Solanum lycopersicum: one gene and its partner. The protein of the gene in region 1 binds, or shares a complex with, the protein of each later gene. Links are inferred from orthologs where the notes say so. Each region holds a gene or a part of one and is shown in the gene's direction. Other genes may lie near its edges. The genes, in order: CSN3 and COP9 signalosome complex subunit 7.

Region 1 (4,563 bases):
TAGTCTGATTGCTTACATAAGTAAAGGAAATTGCTTTCAGCTACTGAAGTGTATTGTGATGATTATTAACTTTTTTTGGAAATAAAAAAGTTCTATTGTCTGTATCTGTTATTGCAATGCTAATAAGTGCTAACTGCAACAAATGCGCTCTTTCCTCAGGAGATCAATTCATTTGAAGGGGATACCTCAGGAAAATGTAAGGAAGTACTGTTTTAGTGGTGCAATATTATTTCAATTGAGTTGCCATTCTCATAAGTTGTTGTCTTGGTTGCAGGCAAATATTCCCTGAGAACAGGGTATGATGAATAAGGGATCTCAGTTTCAATTCTTGCATCCCCTTGTCTGTGGCATCTTTTGGTTATGACTCTCAGAAATTTGTGAAAATTCATTTCTTCTGTTTTTGGCGGTGATCCAATTTTTGGCTTTTTGCATGCAGAAAGGTCGCAAAATTCCTGTTTGAAAACTTCCTTGCTCGGAAGGGGAAGGAGGAGGTAGAAGTTGTCAACTTGTCCTTGCTTATGAAGGGGAAAACAAAGGGAGACAGTGCAAGGGTGTTCTACGAGATACTGGTATTGTTTTTAGGTTCCTTTCATCTTTCTGGTAATTTTAGGTCTGCCAAATTGAACTTGTGGATGAACGGAATTATTTGATACATATTTTGAGTAGCGCTTTCAGCAGGAGTTTTTGTCCCTTGTTTCCCTTCTGTCAAGCATCCAGGATGTGCTCTAGATGGTGGTGCTTAAAAAGGAATTTCTTTGGTTCTATTGTTGTTAAATGCCCCCGTGTTTCTTGGCCTATAAACATTGGTTATAATGGACGGACACATGAATTTATTTTACGCATTTGTCTCTGGTTTTACGTAAATATAATCCAACGTAAGATATATACATTGTGAATTATTTACAATGCTTATTTTCCACGCAGGTTCTGAAATCAGGAGGCTGTATAGATGTGCGGCAGGATGATGCCTACAGTGACATTCTTTTGCAAAAACTCCCAAGACTAAAGCAGACCTTTGAAGCTGAGTCCTGAATCTATATATATATGTTCACAAAGAGAGCTGTGTTGGTAAATAGTAGCCAGAGGAAACAATCACATGACATATATGCTTTTATATATGTTTGGTAGTATATATGAGTGGAAGAGCGCTTTTCTTTGCTAGCTATTGCTCTTCCTCCTTAACATGAAGGCAAGTTAGGTTATTGTTAACTATTATGTCTTCTATCAGGAATTAGTTGAATTTATTGTCAATGTTTTGGTTTATAACTACTACTGGTGCCCAATTTAACCACTTGTGAAAAGCTATTACTCCAATTTTCTTTAACATCAAATACACGAAAAGGCTTTTTATGAGAAAATTGTATACCCAATATATATCTGGAAGTGGTTATAGAAAAATATTGCTCTACAATGTTGTCAATTCATAGGCGTTTTAATCAACAATGAGCAATAATAGTTGTGACTTATGTCGTATAAATATCATGTTACATTTGTATTTGTGAGTTTTAAAAAGCTTTTATCGCGAAAAAAAAAAAAAAAAAAGACATGGTAGGAGTAGGACACAAAGAGGTCTTTCGTGTCTTTAAGTACTCATAGAATAAAAATTAGTTTATGCATAAAAATTTTGATGTATTATTTGATTGTCAAATTCGAAATAATTTATTCCTCCAATTTTATATGTAATGGAAGAAAAAAAATTAAAATAATTTTTAGGTATTTTTAAAATGTTTAATAATTTCTTTTTTAAAAAGAAGTTTTTGTAATCTCTTTATATAAATTTAAATTTAATAAAAATAGATGAAAACCCAATCGCTCTTTATTTTTAATTTATATAAGAGAAATAAAACTGGACATAAAAGAAGTCCCAATTATTTCTTTTTATTTATTACCCAGTCCAGTTGAAGCCTCGTCTCTTAGACGTGAATCTGCTGAAACTCATAAGTGTGTTGATTGGGCGAGAGAGATGAATCTGAACATGAATTCAATGGAATCAGTGGTTGCTCAAATCCAAGGGCTATCGAGCAATTCATCAGACATAACTCAGCTTCACAACTTTCTCAAACAATCGGAAGAGCTACTCCATTCCGACTTCTCTCGCTTGCTTTCTTCTCTCGCTGAACTCGATCCTTCTATTCACTCCCTAGGTTTTCTCTATATTCTGTAAGTTCCTTTTCATCCTCATCTCTTATTCTTATAACCTAAACCTAGGGTTTCTATTCTGAAGATTATTATTTGTTTAAATTAGCCATTGTTAGGTTATATATATAGATATATTGATTAAAACACCCTGGGCTGTGGCTTAGTCATCGTGGGCTATGGACGATGAGGTTTCATGTTAAAATCCCAATGCAGGTGTTTTTTTCCCATCTGCCCTAACTTTGTTGGACACCTGGTATTGGTACGCGTGGAATTAGCTTGGTGGACACCACGGTGATTATGAAAAAAGAAAAGCTAATTGACAAAGAGGATTGTTATGGTCAACACCAATACATGTAGGATTGAGGCATAGTTGATTGATTGATTACATAATCTATAAAAATAATGCAGAATTGAACCATCCACTGAATTAAAGACCAGTATTTGTGTAACAAGTGCGCGTTGTCTTTTGTACTCTGTCTAGTGTGTATTAATCATATAATTGTGTTTGTTAACTAACAGGGAGGCATGCATCTCATTCCCAGTTGCAAAGGAGCATGTTAGTGAACTGCTTGTTTCTGTCGCTAGATTTATCAATTCATGTTCTACAGAGCAAATCCAGTTGGCGCCCAATAAGTGTAATTTTCTCTGGTTTCTGGAATAGCTTTTGTGAATATTCTTGTTTCTGGTCTAACTTATATTGAGGCACGTCTTCAATTTGTGGTTGCAGTCATTTCTGTTTGTAAAAAGTTCAAGGATCATGTTTTCGGACTGGAAACTCCGATTCGTGGTGTGGCTCCAATGCTGACTGCTATTCGTAAACTGCAATCCTCCCCTGAGCAATTAACAACATTGCATGCCGATTTTCTTCTTCTTTGTCTATTAGCAAAGTGCTACAAAACTGGCTTCTCTGTGCTGGAGGATGACATATATGAGATTGATCAGCCACGGGAGTTTTTTCTCTATTGTTACTACGGGTTAGTTGTTTCAGACTTTCTGCTTAGAAGTTATTTCAGTTGTGTTGGTGTCGTTCCCTTGTTCCGTTCCTTGTTTAAATTTCTCTGTGACTTTTAAAAAAAAAAATTGGAATATTTTTTATGGCAATTCATTAAATCATGCTTTCCTATCAGTGTGTTTTCTAATTTTTATAGGAAAGAGGAACTTTACTCGCCTATGAATATTTGTATTTGCTTGTATAGTTATCTGGTGAAAGAATTAATTTTGTTCAAAAACCCATGGTATTGGTATACAATTATCTACGTCTGCCTTTCTTACCTTTGATATTGTTTAGTTCTCCAACCTAAAGACAAAGTTCTTAACAGCAATGTGAATCACAAGTGATGTATCAATTTAGAATGAGATTGAGTAATTCAATATTTTCTTAATTAAAAAAGTCACTGATATAATCTTTCTATCGCTTTCTGGATTTTTCTGGATTTGTGTCTTATACTTGTTGACATGTCTTATAATTTGAACATAATAACAGGGGAATGGTTTGCATTGGACAAAAGCAGTTCCGCAAAGCATTGGAACTCTTGCACAATGTATGTTACTGTGTTCTCATTCCATGTTTCCTTTATTGGTATTTGGTTTTGTTATTCCCTATTTGCAAGTTACTATATATTATCTATATCTGTCCGTTTGTGCTGATTCTATCTGTTATGCTTCTAGGTTGTGACTGCACCTATGTCTACTCTAAATGCAATAGCAGTTGAAGCTTACAAAAAGTACATTCTGGTTTCACTGATTCATCTTGGGCAGGTGTGTTTTGCCACCATTTTTTACATACTTTTGGTGATAATATTTAGTCAATATTCTTGTGACGTCTCTGTTGGACAACAGTTTGTGAGATCTATGTGTCTTTTCTGGGGCTTGAGCTTGCACTGCCGTATAACCTTCTTATTTTACATTATGTATGATATTATCACCGATGGACTCGTTTAGTTTGAGCCACAATGTGTCAACTTTTTAAAATGATTTTGGCTTGTAATATGCACTTTGAGTAGAGATGTAAGCACCCCCCTCCCCCCCTCACCCAAAACAACAACAAATATGCACAAAGTAAAAAAGAATATGATAGGTCATGTTTCCGATGTTTATTCTTGCTGATTTTCGTTCTCCTGATTAAATTGAGGTTTGCTTATCATGGCAGTTCTCTACCAGTTTTCCCAAGTACACTTCTTCCGTGGCTCAAAGGAACTTGAAGAATTTCTCTCAGGTAATTATTTCAACTGTGCAAACATTGATTCCAAGTAGCACCGACTGTTCCACCCAAAGCAAATTGAAAGGAATATTTTCCCTCAAATGATTTGATGACAATGCAAGCTCAGTTAAGTATGCACAGTTGGCGTTACAATGTTGATGTTAGAAATCTTGTACTGATTCAAGTGTTGTTTCAAAGTATAAGCATTGCATATTTTGTATTAG
Region 2 (4,437 bases), on another chromosome or scaffold:
ATCTATATTTAAAGTAATAATTTGTGCTTAATTAGTTAATAGCAAGTTGACTATAATTTACATTTACAGATTTATTATAAAATAATACTCGCTTCAAAATTCCTTTCACATAAAAAAATCCCTATTTTGGGATCGACCCCTACACGGAAGCAATAGCGAAGTCAATTCGGGTAGGCGCACGATCCTTATATCATAACAAACGTTTTATAGGCTCCCGAACCCTCGATTCGGTTGTTTTCCAAGAATGTTGAGCCACATATGTAAGCCATGTATCTGGGAGGAACAACAATAAAAGAAAGGTTTCAGTTTTTGTCTTGCAACTATTTTCAAAATATATATATAACCCAAAAGAATATTCATTCATTTCTTTCTTCTCCGTCGACCACGACGATTGAAACGACGCGAAAAATCTAGACCCCGTAAAGGAGAAGGGTCGGGGGGGGGGGATTTGGGAAAGTCGGGTCGGCCGGGTGTCTTTATTCAAGCAATGGTACAGAAGTAGAACGAAATAGAGTGAGAGGTCGGGGGCATGGAAAAGAGTCAAATCGATCAGGCTCGACGATCGGGAGAAGCAAAACGAAATCAGGATTTGAACGAAAAAAAAGCAAGGTTGTGTATACCATGACCGATCACCATCGACAAAAGAAGAATATTTCTAAATCACTTCGTGTCAGCGGGACCTTCAAGCATCCGAAATATGCCACGATTGAAAATGACATAACATACATGATTAAAAACATAAAATTAAATCATAAAAGTTTGAGGAAAGATGATACAAGTTATTCATTATTATCAAGGTGTCAAGTGAAAAACAATAATATCTATGATCGAGAAAGATTGAAAGAAGTGATTGTCTCACATTTGCTAAGAGCTCTTTGATGAATTTTTCGTAAAATGCAACCCCTTACTTGTTAAGTAACTCTCTATCTAATTGTATAAATACAAAATACTATTTTATTGATAAGTTATCATATAATAATGGTATATTCAAATTTAAATACATTGACATGAAATCAACCTAAAGCATACGACAAAGCCATTAAGATTAATAGTATGTCAATGTCAAAAATCTTTCTTCAGTATACATGATTTGATTAACATGACATTCACTCTACGTTATCATATTGAATATATTATTATTGAAATTTATTAAAATTTAATATACATATAAAATAATTAGTATATATTTCTTATAATGATCTTATTTTCTTTTTTGTATATTTTAAAAAGAATGATATTTTTCCTTTTCTGGCAACATTTTAACGATATGACATGTTTAAGAATATAAAATTAAAAAGTATTTTGATATACTTGACATAACTTTAATTTAGTTACATAAAATTAAAATATATTATTCCTTTTTTGAAATTTTATTTTAAATTATTATTATTTTTTTAAACGGAGGGAGTAATTATTATTGTAAAATATTGAAAGAAGCTTAAAAGTAAATCAAAAGTATAAAAGGACCCGCGATGGGCTCAAAGCATCATACCAAATCAGACAAGCGCCCTTCTTCTCCGTGGGACTCCAAAATTTTACAGTTAAAAAAGCCCTCTTCTCTATTTGTTTTTGTGATAAATCTTTGAATCGGAAATCAGAAACCCTAATAATTTTCTTTGCTTTTGTCTATAAATGTTATTGAACCCCTGATTACTTGTGATTATTAATTATTCATAGAGAGATGGATATCGAACAAAAGCAAGCGGAGCACATCGACTTCTTTGTGAAACAAGCATCAGCACTCAAGGGTTCTGCCCTTACCACTGTTATTGTTGAAGCCACTTCGCATCCATCACTCTTTGCTTTTTCAGAGATTCTTTCTGTTCCCAGTGTTCTCGAGGTTTCCATTCATTCATATTACTATTTCTACACTTGTTCTGATTTTGTTTGAAGTTTTTTTTTTTTTTTTATGATAATTGGGTTAGTAGGTGTTGCGTTAATTTGTTTTTTTGTAATTTTGTGTGTTTTTTCCTATACTGGGTTTCTAGGTATTTACCCTGAACATTGTGTCGTGGTTATGTACTTATGCTATTGATTGGGCAATATCTGGAATATGATATCATTCTGGGTATCTGTTTGTTGAGTCTTTCGAAAACAGCCTCTCTACCTTCTCAAAGGTAGGGATAAGGTCTGCGCGTACACTCTACCCTACCTGGACATCAAACACCACTTGTGAGATTACATTTGGTTTGTTGTTTTTGTTGTTGATGGAATTTCCTGATAATTTGATTAGTGGGTTTTCCTCTCATATTGGAAGTGCCTGCGTTAGGCGTAGTAATTGGTCTTGTGGTACGAGGAAAAATGTTGGGGATGTCTTAAGAAAGGAAAGCTTTGAGTAAACTGGGATGGATTAATGAAAACAATATTTTGCCGATGAGCTACAAACTCTTGCTCATTTATATGGCTGTATGTTAAATATTGAATAGTCTATGTAGATGTTTTAGATCATGGATAAATAGATGAAAAGTTAATATTTTATCTTATGATCAAGTACCAGATGATTTTCAAAACACAAAAGGAATGAATATCAGGAAACACAACTAAAATGGATCAAGATACTACAATTTGATTGATTTTAAAAGAGGTAATAGAAGCGTAGGGGATACAGTATCATTAATGAGGAAATAACTTGGGTTCATCCTATCAATTCAATCAACTTCAGAGCTCAAAACCCTAAGCATATCGAAATGGGCTTAGTTGCACGGACTCTTCACTTTGATGCCGCATCCGTGTCGGATTCACCAAAATACACTACTTTTGGCGAATCCGACATGCACTATTGACAGTTTGGAAGAGTCCGAGCTACATAGGAAATGGGTTTTATACTCGGTTTTGATTCTCTTTAGAGTTCCTTTATGACAATTAGGTAGACATCTGGGAATAAAGGGCAAAAGAAGTGCTTTTGATCAGTCAGGTTAGACCATATCTGAAGTGGGCACTTTATTGTGGTATTTCTTGACTATAAATTGCACCTGTGATTCAACGTTGGTTGTTGAATCATAAGATTCAGGTTAGATTTATGCATCACAGACTTAGATTATAGTTGATTCTGCTGGAACATAAATCTAATTGTGAGATTTGAATCTCAAACTGTAAGTTTTTGAAAAATATGGGCATAGAAAACATTTGTTTCAATGCAGAGGATTATTGGGAGCACCTGAAAATTGTACCTTGATATACTTTTTGCAAGTTGTGTAGTTAACACCATATTGCCATGTTGCTGTATATATACTTTGGGATCCCTTTCATATTTGCGGTTAATTGTTTTTTTTTGTTGGACCTATATGCAGCTTGGAGGAACTGAGAATTCAGTATACCTTGATTTGCTTCGTTTGTTTGCTCATGGAACATGGAGTGACTACAAAAGTAAGCGTACATTTTTTTTTATATCTGATTATTTTAGAAACATTTTTTTTGTTGGGTAGGCTGGGTAGCTGATTGGATCCGCTTTTCCAGGTTGGAGATTTCAACAATGTTCTTTTTATTGCCATTATGTCAATTTATCTGCAATACTTCATTTACCATTCTTTCATATTAAATGCCTTAAATTTTATAATATTGTGAACTTGTACCCTATCATTTCGAGGTATTTCTTTGAGATAGAATATGCTTTTGGTCATATGTATAAGAACTTGAAGATTCTTCTAATTGTTAATAGAGCGTTAGTGCAAATGAGGGTATCAATATTAAGTTATTAACTTCTCAAGTTTTGTTTCTCCGTAAATGAGTTCATTGTTGGCTGGGAAGTTAATAAGGACATGGTTTAGCCTCAGTTGTTCGGACTTTATGCGGTATAGTTCTTCTTGAACTGGTTTGATTCTAAATTTTCTTACAAAATCAATCAAATTATTTGGTTGATGTGGATTTCTTGATCGTAGCAAGACTGGAATAGAACTTTTGTTCCACATAGGGGCCATAGTATCAAGTAATAGTAGCGTATAGAATTACATTCTTCAAAACCATTTTCTCATCTATTTTGCTTATTAATTTATTTCTTTATTTCTTATTGGCTCAGGTATATAAGACATAACACTACAAATATGATATAATTTTTATTCCTTCTCAGTAATCACTTTTATTCACAATTGCCTTTTTATAAAGTAATATCACATTCCAAGTTTAAGTTATGATAATCTTTTTGCTAGTAAGAATTTGGTTATTTCAACACCTTGATACGATTGATATTTTGAGTAGAAGTGCTAATGAAAAAAAGTCTTCTTTTTTTCTTCTCTTAACTTAAGAATTAAGTAAAATCAATGAAATTGAACTGCATATGGTAGAAAACCATGTGAATCATCAATACAATATTTGATTCACACGGTCCGCATGCTGTTTCATACAATGCGTCACCCGCTCTTGTATTTGTAATAACTTGTCATGAATTCAATTAAATGTTGATGGAAAAGAACCATAACTATGTAACCCTATTCCTAACAG

What was found.
Region 2: CSN3 (region 1) and COP9 signalosome complex subunit 7 share a complex: the UniProt entries of both Arabidopsis thaliana proteins name them as parts of the CSN complex. The link is inferred for Solanum lycopersicum from reciprocal best matches to the Arabidopsis thaliana genes COP13 and FUS5.

What each region holds. Positions count from the first base shown.
Region 1 is NC_090801.1:70,963,111-70,967,673, reverse strand, and holds the start of CSN3 (COP9 signalosome complex subunit 3), read left to right. Parts: upstream 1-1,689; 5' UTR 1,690-1,963; coding exon 1,964-2,160; intron 2,161-2,658; coding exon 2,659-2,774; intron 2,775-2,866; coding exon 2,867-3,113; intron 3,114-3,622; coding exon 3,623-3,680; intron 3,681-3,807; coding exon 3,808-3,897; intron 3,898-4,288; coding exon 4,289-4,354; intron 4,355-4,563. Other genes in the region: sister chromatid cohesion 1 protein 2, read left to right, coding at 160-196, 275-296, 437-569, 925-1,032. UniProt on the Arabidopsis thaliana protein: Component of the COP9 signalosome complex (CSN), a complex involved in various cellular and developmental processes such as photomorphogenesis and auxin and jasmonate responses.
Region 2 is NC_090800.1:79,720,436-79,724,872, forward strand, and holds the start of COP9 signalosome complex subunit 7, read left to right. Parts: upstream 1-1,469; 5' UTR 1,470-1,681; coding exon 1,682-1,840; intron 1,841-3,290; coding exon 3,291-3,366; intron 3,367-4,437. UniProt on the Arabidopsis thaliana protein: Component of the COP9 signalosome complex (CSN), a complex involved in various cellular and developmental processes such as photomorphogenesis and auxin and jasmonate responses.